Linked DNA regions of Xenopus tropicalis. The protein of the gene in region 2 interacts with the protein of the main gene of each other region in a biochemical or structural test. Links are inferred from orthologs where the notes say so. Each region holds a gene or a part of one and is shown on either strand. Other genes may lie near its edges. The genes, in order: max, mxd1 and sin3a.

What was found.
Region 1: the proteins of mxd1 (region 2) and max form a complex in vitro, tested with the Homo sapiens proteins (4 studies listed by BioGRID, with this or other methods). The link is inferred for Xenopus tropicalis from reciprocal best matches to the Homo sapiens genes MXD1 and MAX.
Region 3: the proteins of mxd1 (region 2) and sin3a form a complex in vitro, tested with the Homo sapiens proteins (4 studies listed by BioGRID, with this or other methods). The link is inferred for Xenopus tropicalis from reciprocal best matches to the Homo sapiens genes MXD1 and SIN3A.

Annotation. Positions count from the first base shown.
Region 1 is NC_030684.2:119,935,239-119,939,571, forward strand, and holds the start of max (protein max), read left to right. Parts: upstream 1-1,436; 5' UTR 1,437-1,578; coding exon 1,579-1,614; intron 1,615-4,333. UniProt on the Homo sapiens protein: Transcription regulator. Forms a sequence-specific DNA-binding protein complex with MYC or MAD which recognizes the core sequence 5'-CAC[GA]TG-3'. The MYC:MAX complex is a transcriptional activator, whereas the MAD:MAX complex is a repressor.
Region 2 is NC_030679.2:121,959,147-121,962,008, reverse strand, and holds the end of mxd1 (max dimerization protein 1), read right to left. Parts: intron 2,770-2,862; coding exon 2,655-2,769; intron 2,455-2,654; coding exon 2,295-2,454; intron 1,555-2,294; coding exon 1,364-1,554; 3' UTR 616-1,363; downstream 1-615. UniProt on the Homo sapiens protein: Component of a transcriptional repressor complex together with MAX. In complex with MAX binds to the core DNA sequence 5'-CAC[GA]TG-3'. Antagonizes MYC transcriptional activity by competing with MYC for MAX binding.
Region 3 is NC_030679.2:93,378,726-93,383,051, forward strand, and holds the start of sin3a (paired amphipathic helix protein Sin3a), read left to right. Parts: upstream 1-1,515; 5' UTR 1,516-1,621; intron 1,622-4,326. UniProt on the Homo sapiens protein: Acts as a transcriptional repressor. Corepressor for REST. Interacts with MXI1 to repress MYC responsive genes and antagonize MYC oncogenic activities. Also interacts with MXD1-MAX heterodimers to repress transcription by tethering SIN3A to DNA.

The DNA.
Region 1 (4,333 bases), on a different chromosome or scaffold from region 2:
TGGAGTACCAGCCTGTGTTTACACTGTAACCCCTCAATCTGCCAGATATCAGCTGAATAATACACAAGGGGCCTGTACGTTTGTATAACTTTATAAAGCGCTACAGGAATGTGGAGAGATGTACATGTATGGGATCTGTTATCCAGAATGCTCGGGACCTTGGGTCTTCCGGATAAGGGATCTTTCCGTAGTTTGGATCTCCATGCTTTACGTTTACTAAAATGTCATTTAAACATGAAATAAATCCATTAGGATTGTTTTCCATCCAAAAGGATTAATTATATCTTAGTTGGGATCAAGTACAGGTACTGTTTTATTATTACAGAGAAAAGGGAATCATTTAACCATTAAATAAACCCAATAGGGCTGTTCTGCCCCCAATAAGGGGTAATTATATCTTAGTTGGGATCAAGTACAGGTACTGTTTTATTATTACAGAGAAAAGGGAATCATTTCTAAAAATTAGAATCATTTGTTTAAAATGGAATCTATGGGAGATGGCCTTTCCGTAATTCGGAACTTTCTGGATAACAGGTTTCCAGAAAATGGATCCAATACCTGTACAATCATATAACAGTACACACGGGGAAGGCACATATTATAAAAAACATAACAAATAAGTATATATACACAGAGATTAAGCACCATTTGGTATGAGGCACAGTAGGAAAGCCTGTAGAGCTTACAATCTAAGCTTGTAAAGGGTAGTATTTTTTTTTTTTTGCTTTATTCAGCTATTTCACACAATACAGTAGGCACCACGCAGGGCTTTTCTATACTCTATATCTGCCGAGCTGACAACAGGTGCACGAAAAGGTTGCTATGGCATCTGCTTCGTTAGCAACACGCTTGGTGTCGGTATCTTTTTGTTAGAAATGGCATAAAACGTCATTTCCCATCATATAATTTCTGCCCCCGGAACAACCAAACTGTAGATGTGATATACATAAATACGCTTACGACTTGAGATACACCCCTAAACGATATAATATCAGTTTGTATTAGTCCAAAGCGGATGAAGATGAAAAGCCCCACTACTTCCCTAAGCCTCTCTCCCATCTCCCCCGCAGGCCCTTCCCTTGTCACTACACAACAAGCCCGTAGCCGCCACAGCAGCCCAGTCACACAAACACAAACTCGCCCAGCTTCCCGTCTATACACGTGTCTCCAGCCCACTTCCGGGAAGCCGCTACCTGTGTAGACTACAAATCCCATCAGCGGCCTGGAACGTCGCGCCTGCGCAGTAAAGCTTGTTTGCTCCCAAGGCTATAAGGGAGTTGTAGTCAATTTCCGTGTTTAGGCGCATAAGCTGGCAGAGCGCTTCCGGCCCTAGTGAACTCCATTTCCCAGCATGCAGCGGGCCGGCTCTCTGAGAGGCTAGAGCTCTGGCTAATGATCCCTAGCAGTGTGGAGTCACGTGTGGCTTCCGTTGGTGTGTTTTCCTGGGCACAGAGAGGGTCTCTTCCCCCCCTCTCTCCCTCCCTTAATTCGGATTTTATTTTTTTTTTCTTTTTGCCCATAGTGTTTGTTTTCAGGCCCGAGCAGCCTCTCCCCTCCTTCCCATCACTATAGGAAAGCATGAGCGATAACGATGACATCGAGGTGGAAAGCGACGTGAGTGCGGGTTCCGCTTCCCTTTAACTTGGCTTTATATGGGGTGGGGGCGGGGGTGGCTGTGTTGTCCCTTGGAGAGGGGGCAACTGTCTGTTTAGCAGGGATCACCGCTTTTGGTTCTAGCTGTAACAGGAACAGTGTTTCCTATTCTGTGTGTGCCTAGGTCCTGCTGCACTACAAATCCCAGCATCCTCAGCAATACGGAGAAGGTTTTCGGGTAGGGCAGAGAGAGGGCATTTGTCCTGGGCTTCCAGTATCTCAGGGCATCTTGTTTTATTTGTTAGGACTCTGTATCCCTCCTGCACTGTATGTAGTATAACTTGTAGCATCCACCGGCCCTCCAGCTGCTCTGCAATCCTTAGCATCTCCCCTGGCAGGGATGGGAGGGCTGCAGCCCAACAGCTGGAGGGTCCTTAAATCAATATCCCCATTATGATATTATTATATACTAGGACCCCAGCATTCCTTCAGTGCCCAGGGTACCTTCATCAGTCTGGGGTTTATTGTTATTTATATAGCACTGAAGTATCCCATCATTCATATCAGCCTGGCACCAGTGGAGCTTACTATCTAAGGTCCCTATCACATTCACCAACACATAGGGGCCGATACATTAAATTACAAATTAAGAGTATAATTGGCGACAATTCGCATTAAATACAAAAATTTCTAATGTGCGTTAATTTTGCGAAGAGTCGCGTTGTACTTGTGCGAAAATATCGTGGTACGATGCAAAAGTTACGAAATTTTCGTATCCGTACGATCGTAAACGGCTCAAAAACCTTTCTGACTTTGACCCTTCAGTGGAGGATTTTGGAAGTCTCCCATAGGACTCAATGGCACTCTGCAGCTCCAACCTGGCCCAAGGAAAGTCTCCCATAGGGCTCAATGGCACTCTGCAGCTCCAACCCGGCCCAAGGAAAGTCTCCCATAGGGCTCAATGGCACTCTGCAGCTCCAACCTGGCCCAAGGAAAGTCTCCCATAGGGCTCAATGGCACTCTGCAGCTCCAACCCGGCCCAAGGCAAGTCTCCCATAGGGCTCAATGGCACCCTGCAGCTCCAACCTGGCCCAAGGAAAGTCTCCCATAGGCCTCAGTGGCACTCTGCAGCTCCAACCCGGCCCAAGGAAAGTCTCCCATAGGGCTCAATGGCACTCTGCAGCTCCAACCTGGCCCAAGGAAAGTCTCCCATAGGGCTCAATGGCACTCTGCAGCTCCAACCCGGCCCAAGGAAAGTCTCCCATAGGGCTCAATGGCACTCTGCAGCTCCAACCTGGCCCAAGGAAAGTCTCCCATAGGGCTCAATGGCACTCTGCAGCTCCAACCCGACCCAAGGAAAGTCTCCCATAGGGCTCAATGGCACTCTGCAGCTCCAACCTGGCCCAAGGAAAGTCACGATATTGAAGCTTGAATGAATAATGAAACTTTTGTACTCGTTGCGACAAATACGATTTTGTCGTGCAAATTGTTGGAAAGTACGAAAAAGTTGCGAAAAAAACGCACAGTTCTAAAACAATTTTTTTTGTATTCACACTCAATTGTACTTTGATGAATGTGCCCCTTAGTGTAAACATCGCATACACACCAGGCAGCCCCAGTAGATGTGTAATGATACCTGCTCTGTATGGTGGGCATGGGACTCTGGGACTAGTGCCTTTATTACTGACCTGTTTTCTATGTTGTTGGTACCTATCCAACAATAACTGCAGGGTGGTAAGATAGACACCTCGGTGAAGGGCAACAAACGTGTATGCATACCCTATTATTTTGGAAGGGTAACAGCCAGAGGTTATACTATGAACAGGTGTCTGTATATATTTCTGTTGGCCAGACTCATGGGGGGGGCGGGCGGAGCTTCATCATTTCTCCACTGGTTGTTTGGTGTCCCAGTGAGACAGGCTTGCTTGTTTGTTGTCCATTTTTTTCTATATTACCCTTGATATTAAATATTTTGGAGAGGATCAGATTGTAGGAAATGGTGATGTTAGGCATAGTTGTTCATATTACATAGTTACATAGGGTTGAAAAAAGACCATTGTCCATCAAGTTCAACCCTTCCAAGTAAACCCAGCACACACAACCTATACTTACCAATCTATACACTCACATACATAAACTATAGATACAATCATTAATACTAACTGTAGATATTAGTGTCACAATAGTGTTTGATACTATGCTTGTTCAAGAACTCATCCAGGCCCCTCTTATAGGCATTAACAGAATCTGCCATTACAACATCACTAGGAAGGGCATTCCCCAACCTCACTGCCCTCACTGTGAAAAACCCCCTACGCTGCTTCAAATGGAAGCTCCGTTCCTCTAATCTAAAGCGGGGGCCTCTGGTGCGTTGATTGTTTTTATGGGAAAAAAAGAACATCCCCTATCTGCCTATAATCCCCTCTAATGTACTTGTACAGAGTAATCATGTCCCCTTTAAGAAGGACCACATCCAGGCAGTAGGCTGTCCTGGAATACTAGTAGTGTTCATGGCTTTGTACTATTAGGGCTCTGGCACACGGGGAGATTAGTCGCCCGTGACAAATCTCCCTGTTCATGGGCGACTAATCTCCCTGAAATGCCATCCCACTGGCAAAAATGTAAATCGCCGGTGGGATGGCATACGCGGCGCCGCGTTTTCCCTGAAATCGCGGAAGTTGCCTTGAGAGGAACTGCCGGTTTGATGGCATTTCGGGGAGATTTGTCACCGGCAACTAAT
Region 2 (2,862 bases):
CAACGTACAAATTCCTTCGAGAAGCATCTGCTAGGGACAGTTACATGCAGCTGCAAAGGTTATACCGTGAAACGGGGGAATCGAATGGTACTGTTTGGATCTAGCTACGAAAATGTTAAAGTGCGTGTCCCAAACACTGCCTGGTAAAAATCCAACCGTTAGCATTCTGGGTGGGTTATGTTCAGTTAAGGACGATGAAGGCCTGCTTGCAGTTTTTTTGTAGTGCATGCTCTTTTCAAGGTGAATTTCTTTAGATTAGGGATAAAAACAAAAACTAAAACTTGACTGCCATTTGGGGAAAAACAGCAAGAGATTCTGGTACTGCAAATACACTGAAAAAAAAGAAGGAGCACTGATATCATATAGAAAAACCTTTCAGGCTCCATTAATTTACTCTTCCCTTGCTATAGAAAGGCAAATGAAAAATGCCTGGAAGTCTTCTTGTGAACAGAAAAGGGTAAGATTCCAGTTACAAAATGATAACAGGTTTACATAAAAACATGGAATCATTAAAAAAAAAAAAAAAAAACATCAGCTTGTAGAGGAGAGGCTGTGGCAACAGATAACGATTATGAAAAGTAAGCAAGACTGACACCAATAACAAAAAACACAATATAATAGACATAGCAAGTGGCTTTATAGATCTCCGAATAAAGGCTAGAAGGCGCCAGCGTTGCAATTTAGACTGTGCTGGGTTTGGTGCATTAGATGCACGATTCTGTGAAAAAATATAATAGCAGCATTCTCACTGTTCTAAGCCAAAATCACTGAATCAAGACTCAAAGTCCCATCCAGATTTCCTTGGTGGCTTCTTATTGGATATTATAGTAGCTGTAAACTAAAGGTCTTGCCGTATAGCAAGATTCTTTTGACATATTCCTTCATACCATTTTCCAGATGTGAAGTGAAGCAAAAAAAAAAAAAAGTTTTGGTGTTGCTGGGAGATATTATGACCTTTTAACTGGGCCAATTGTACCGGCAATAGACCAGGTACCAGCTGGATGAATATTGTTATCTTGTTTATCAGCCAACAACCATTTCCAGTAAATAATATAGATAGTTTTTTCCTCTTGAGTGCTTCCTGGTGATTCTGGAATGTGGTCTTCTCGAGTAGATTTGGCTGATGGGTTAGCAAGTGATATTGAGTGTAAACTGAAACCCATACAGCTCCTTCGGAAAAGGGGGGAGGGAAACAGACTGCTGGAAGGTCTGAGTTTACAAGTTCACGTGCAAGATAATGGTGTGAAAGCCAATAGATAACAGTGTCTGATGTGAGAGCAATTGGGAGTAGTGTGACGAACTGCTAGAAATCTCTCGCAACCATCCTTCCCCCCTCCCCTTTTTATCTTCTCTGATTGGCTGTTTAAAGAGCTGTAATTTTGGGATTGTCCTGTAGTTCTATCCTCTTAAGACCAGAGCTGGAATATCCTTCATCACTGCAGATGCTTTGCATACTCCCCCTCTCATCCAAGTCACTCACACTACTGCTACTGCTGCTCCAATCCAGATCTGCAGTTAAATAGTCCGTGCTTTCTACGTCCACATCAATTTCCTCTGTGGAAATAAAGTACCAGGAGTCAGCAATAAACCCAAAGCAAAGAAATACAGCTTTCAGTTGTACTGACAAATACAAAAATTAACTTTAAGTATGATGTATCCAGTAATATTCTGAGACAATTTGCAATTGATTTTTTATGATTTTTTAGTTATTCAGTGTTTTTTTTCAGCAGCTCTCCAGTTTGGTATTTCAGTAGCTATATGGTTACTGAGGTTTTAACCCTAGAAGCTAGGCAATGGTTTGAATGAGAGACTAGAATATGAATAGGAGTGTGTAGACCCCCCCCCCACACCCCCCATTTAAAAAATGGAAAGATGCAGAGGAGAAATGCAAATAATTAAAAAAAAAAAGAAAAAAAATAATTAATGAAGAGCCATTACAAAGGTTATTATGAATAGTTAAAAGGTAACAAAGTTGAACCACCCCTTTAATGAAACACATGGGAAATGCATGCAAACATGCAATGCATGCACACAATAATATATTTGCAGGTAGCAGATAAAGGGTTAATGGTGTGTCTCCAATTATTTGAGCCGCAGCGCAGCACAAAGGGACCATCTACTGGAAACCACTGTGTTAAACTGTACAGTTAGGCCAAGCACGAGTTAACTGAATGAATCAAGATTTTTGAAAATAATGCAAAGAGATTATGAACAGTTTATTAAGAAAATCTATTTTTTTGTTGTTGCTGTTGATATAAAACAATAAACTGAAAGGGGGATGGGGTATAAGTTACCTCTGTCCGAGTCTGATCGTTCTGAAGACATAGCTGACCCTATACTGTCCATGCGCGTCCTTTCCACCCCAAATTTTTCTAGCTGCCTTTTTAGATGTCGCTGTTCTCGTTGCAATTGTTCAATTTGGTGCAGAGACCTTTTGTCACAATCTTCAAGTTTCTTTAAAAGAGAAAGAACAAAAGAAATAATAAGTATTTGGTGTATGTATATGTATATATGTATATATATATATATATATATATATATATATATGTATATATATATATATATATATATATATATATATATATATATATATATATATATATATATATATATAGACACACACACGTTAAAAAAATAATATAACTTTAGCTTACCTTAATGTGCGACTTTGCTCTTGTTAATAGACTTAATGTGGTATGCCTATTGGATTCAGGTCCAAGAGGAACCAATATCTTTAGCTTTTCCAGACATAATCTTAAATGGGCTCGTCTAAACAGGAAAAAAAGAATAATTACATCCACATTAGAAAAACAATCATGGCACAATATGCTTTTCAGTTACACATAACAAAAAATATGAACT
Region 3 (4,326 bases), about 29 Mb from region 2:
AACTGGTGCTTTAGTCAAGGTGGATGGAATCATAAATAGCTCCAAGTATCAGCCTGTTTTGTAAAAAAACCTTTAAGAATCTGTCAGGAAGCTAAAGGTGAACTTCACCTTTCAGCATGACTCAAAGCATACATAAATCAACAAAGCAATAGCTTTACCAAAATCTGTGGGGTGACCTGAAGACAGCGGTGCACAGATGCCCTCACAATTTGACAGATCTGGAAAATGTTAGCAAAGAGGAGTCGGCAAACCTTGCAAAGTCTCAATGTGCCAAACAGATGGACCCAAAAAGACTGAGTGCTGTTAATAAAATCAAAAGGTGCTTCAACCAAGTTATTAGTTTAGGGGGTGCGCACTAATGCAACCAGGTTTTGTATGATTTGTTTCACTAAACTGTTGATTTGTTTTCAACTTCTTTGTACAGATCACAATTTTGTAAAAAAAGGTGGAATAAGTTCTTACAGATTTTATCTTGGTTTCTTTTTTTTTTTTAATTAACACAAACATGTGTTATGTATGTATACAGCGATGAATAGAAGAAAAATAATTTAATTAAAACAAACAAGGGGGTCATTACAATAATAGGTCAATAAATACAAAGTACGATTAATACTAATAAAGTACAGCTGTAGTAAATATGTCACAGAGCTAAGTAACAAAGAGACAAGAGTATGGAGATTCCTGTTCTGTACAGCTTACAATCTATGGCTAAGAAAACTTACAATATATTACAGTCAGTTGCAGAGACAAAGCAGTGCAGCGCTATATATTCTATTCCACATATAAGGTGCAGGGCAGACAATATGAAAGAACACAAAATAATAATCTGTCAATATTGTTATGCCTCTTTCCATATGTTTTCTGGGCTATTAAAAACCTAGACCTTTTCCGCTCGCTCTGCACCATCCGACAAACGTTTCCTATTCCGCGATTCAAGCACCGCACAGCATTCTGGGTTCCATAGTTTTCATCTATGTAAGTATTAAAAAGCAGTGCATTGTGGGCGATATCTTTTGTGTCGTACCTGCAATGCATTTTGGACGTTGTAGTTTTTTAAAAAAATTCTATATTGATTTGAGGTATGTCGTTACTGTGCACATTCAGCCCCTCCATATTCCTATAATTTCGCTCTTGTCGTCCAAAATCATTACGCGCACCTGTCACATAAACATATTTGGGATGCGCGCTGTAGCCGCGGTCTCTCACAACCTCCCGCCCAACAGAGCCCTACTACTTATGAAACAAATACAGCGGTCATTGAATCTGATAAGAGTTCTAAGTCAGCTTGAGGGCCGCGAGTAACACTACAAAATTAACATTAGACTCTACAAGCCTTAGTAAGGAAGGAGAGAACAAACAGCACCAGAGCCAAATGGGACGTGCCCTTCAAGGGGGCGGGTGGCTAAGCCCCCATGACGGAGCGCTGTCTCTATATGGCAAGAAGGCGGGGTCGAGTTTAAATGAGTTCCCCTCCCCTCTAAGGTTTTCTATGGTACACACCCACCCTCTTTTCTGTAGGGGGCTGGACTAGAACTAGGAGTCTTGGAAAAAAACGGGGGGGGTGTATCTATCCTAGCATAGAGTCCCTGACTTGGTGTGGCCGTATATTTATTTCTGGAAGGTATGTGCCTCTTGTTTATCCTAAAGGGAGCCATTCTTTGTTTGGACTGGGGCGCTGGGGTTGTAGTAAGGCCAGTGGGACACATCGAAGTGCTTGCCTTTTCGCAGATGGGGTCAGGCGGCGAGTTACGAGTCCAGCCGTGCTGCACCTCGTATGTACAGGGTGTCCGGATACACATTCCCCCGTGGCACCGTTCTCCAACCTGCGCCTAAACAGCTGCTGTTGGACTGGAATCCCCAGAGCCACGCGAGAGTTTGCTGCCTAATAGCTGTGGGTGGCGAGATCCCTGCCCTAGGGGAATCGATGGTGGCCATGTGGCTACCTGTCCAAATATGCCTGCCAATATGCTCTCATCTGTATAGAGATGACCGCCAGGCCGGGAGATGGATAGATGGAGTAGGGCTGAGACTGGGACAAATGTTATGCACCCGAGCCAGCTGGGCTGTTACTGCCCAGTCAGTTGGCATGGGCAAAGGCTGGTTTGTCCTGTCTGAGAGGGAAGAATTAGGGATCCCTTATGTTCTTAAAATGACCTTAGGTTTTTTTGGGGGGTGGGGGGTTAACGCAGTTCGTGGTGCTGGGGTTTGGGGGACCTACAGCGATTGATGGAAGGCGGAGGTTCAACGCTGACGCTTAAATCATTTGTGCCTTTAAGTTTATTTCTCCCCGAATATCACACGAGACCAAATTTTGGGAAAATGTGAGCTCGGTTTTTGCATGAGATTAATAGGAGTATAGACATGGGGTTTGGGGGGTGGTGCTTCATTGCAGTTAGGTGACTGTATTGTCTGGGAGGCAGCAGAAAACACCCCTGAACAGCCGCGCTATGTGGAAGCGGCTCCTAAATAGCCTGCCTTACACTACACTGTTCCATGTCTTCTGGTCAATGTACTATTAAATTTAATTGCCTTCTGCACGCATAACGAAAACTAGCCGCTATCACTCACGCTAAAACCTCTACTCTCTCCCTTCCTAACGCGCTTAATAATTCTGAGATGGTACGTGCCTCAGCTTTATCCTTTTTGGCCCCGCCCTATCTAAACGCTATTGGCCCTCTCCAGTACCTAGGCATCCTGTATTTTCATTGGGCAGAGTGATTGCACCGCCCTTATTCGCTGGCACTAGGCATCGACTCCGTGTTCTCTTCCGTGTAAGGCGTGGCTTAACACTATTGGTAGGGCGTGCATATTGCTGGTCACTCCTGGTCATAGGAAGCGGAAGCTGATAGCAGGCAATGGTTGGCTAGTTGTGTTGTACCCGGAAGTGCTGTCCAATAAGCTTTACTTTATGGGCCGACGTTAGCCAAGGGGCGGAGCTGAGGACAATGAGGCTGCTCTTCTTATACTCCTCCCCAGAAATGTAGCCTTAAGTTTCATATACGTTTATCGTCTTATTTGTCTCCAAACATTTTTTGATTAATACAATGTGTGAAAACAGTATAGACACTGTGGTCGGAACCCTAATGGTAGCTTATCCTTGATTTAGAGGCAATTCTGCAATCTGACATCAAGTTTTGTGTGTGCTAAGTACGAGAGAGAAAGGTTTGCATCTTGGCTATGAAACATCACACTTTTGATTAGTCAGCACCAGGCAGCATTGCTTTATCATAGGCTATAGACATTTTACTACGTTTATTTTAGGAATATAACAACTCCAACTCATGAATGGCATACTGAAACATTATAAATGCTGCTGTGCCTTTCTATGGACCTAATGCCCTTGGGATGTCGCAATTATGATTAAAAATGTCATACTATAGTGTTAAAGAAAAAAAAAATTTGAAATGTCTGGTGGAAGATGTAAACCCTAATAATGTGAACTTGTATGTATATTTACACTGCACTGCTTGTGCATGCTGTGCTGTACAGTAGGACAACACAATAATAGAACAATTTAGACAGGTCCCCATCAGGTCACAACAAGGTTACAGATATAGAAAATCAGTGTATATTCTTATAAATAGTGGCATTAGTTATAATTGGTCATACACATTTTTAAGAAATACAATTTTTCTTTAAAAAAAAGTACATTTGAAATAACATTTACGTTTTATGACTATAGAAACACAACTTTAACCTGTTATATTGCGCCTTTTAAAAGGGTATGGAACTCCTGTTTTACAAAAGAGACTGCATTAATCCCTACATAAACTTGCTTCATGCACATCTATAATCTAATTATACATGACATCCATCAACATGCTGTGAGATTAGATCAGCTCATACAAACAAATTATGGAGTGCATAGAAAACATACATCAGAACTGTTTTATACCCAGTTCTTAATCAGTTTTTAAAAAGTGTCACATAACCCAGGAAATCAAGAGGCCATGTGCAAGAAATTGGTAGGGAATTCATAAAACAGATGTTAATTTCACTTTGTCGTGTACAAAAACGGCACTGTCAATATTGCATTTTTGCGTAACTCCCTTTCCCAGGAGGGTTTAGGCATTCCTTTATACTAAGTTGGTTAGGTTGTTAAGGTGGCCATACATCCATGGCCACCTCTGTATATATCTGCAAGTTTGGGCCAAATGATGACAGCAGAAAGAAGTAAAGAAAATCTGCAGATTCTCTTTTTACTTGACTAGTAAAAATGTTTCTGATGGATTGGTAATCCTCAACTCATCAGGATTATGTGCCTGAATGGCAACTAGCCATATAAATTTATTTGGTAGTGTGGTCGAAATCAGGCAATTGCACAAC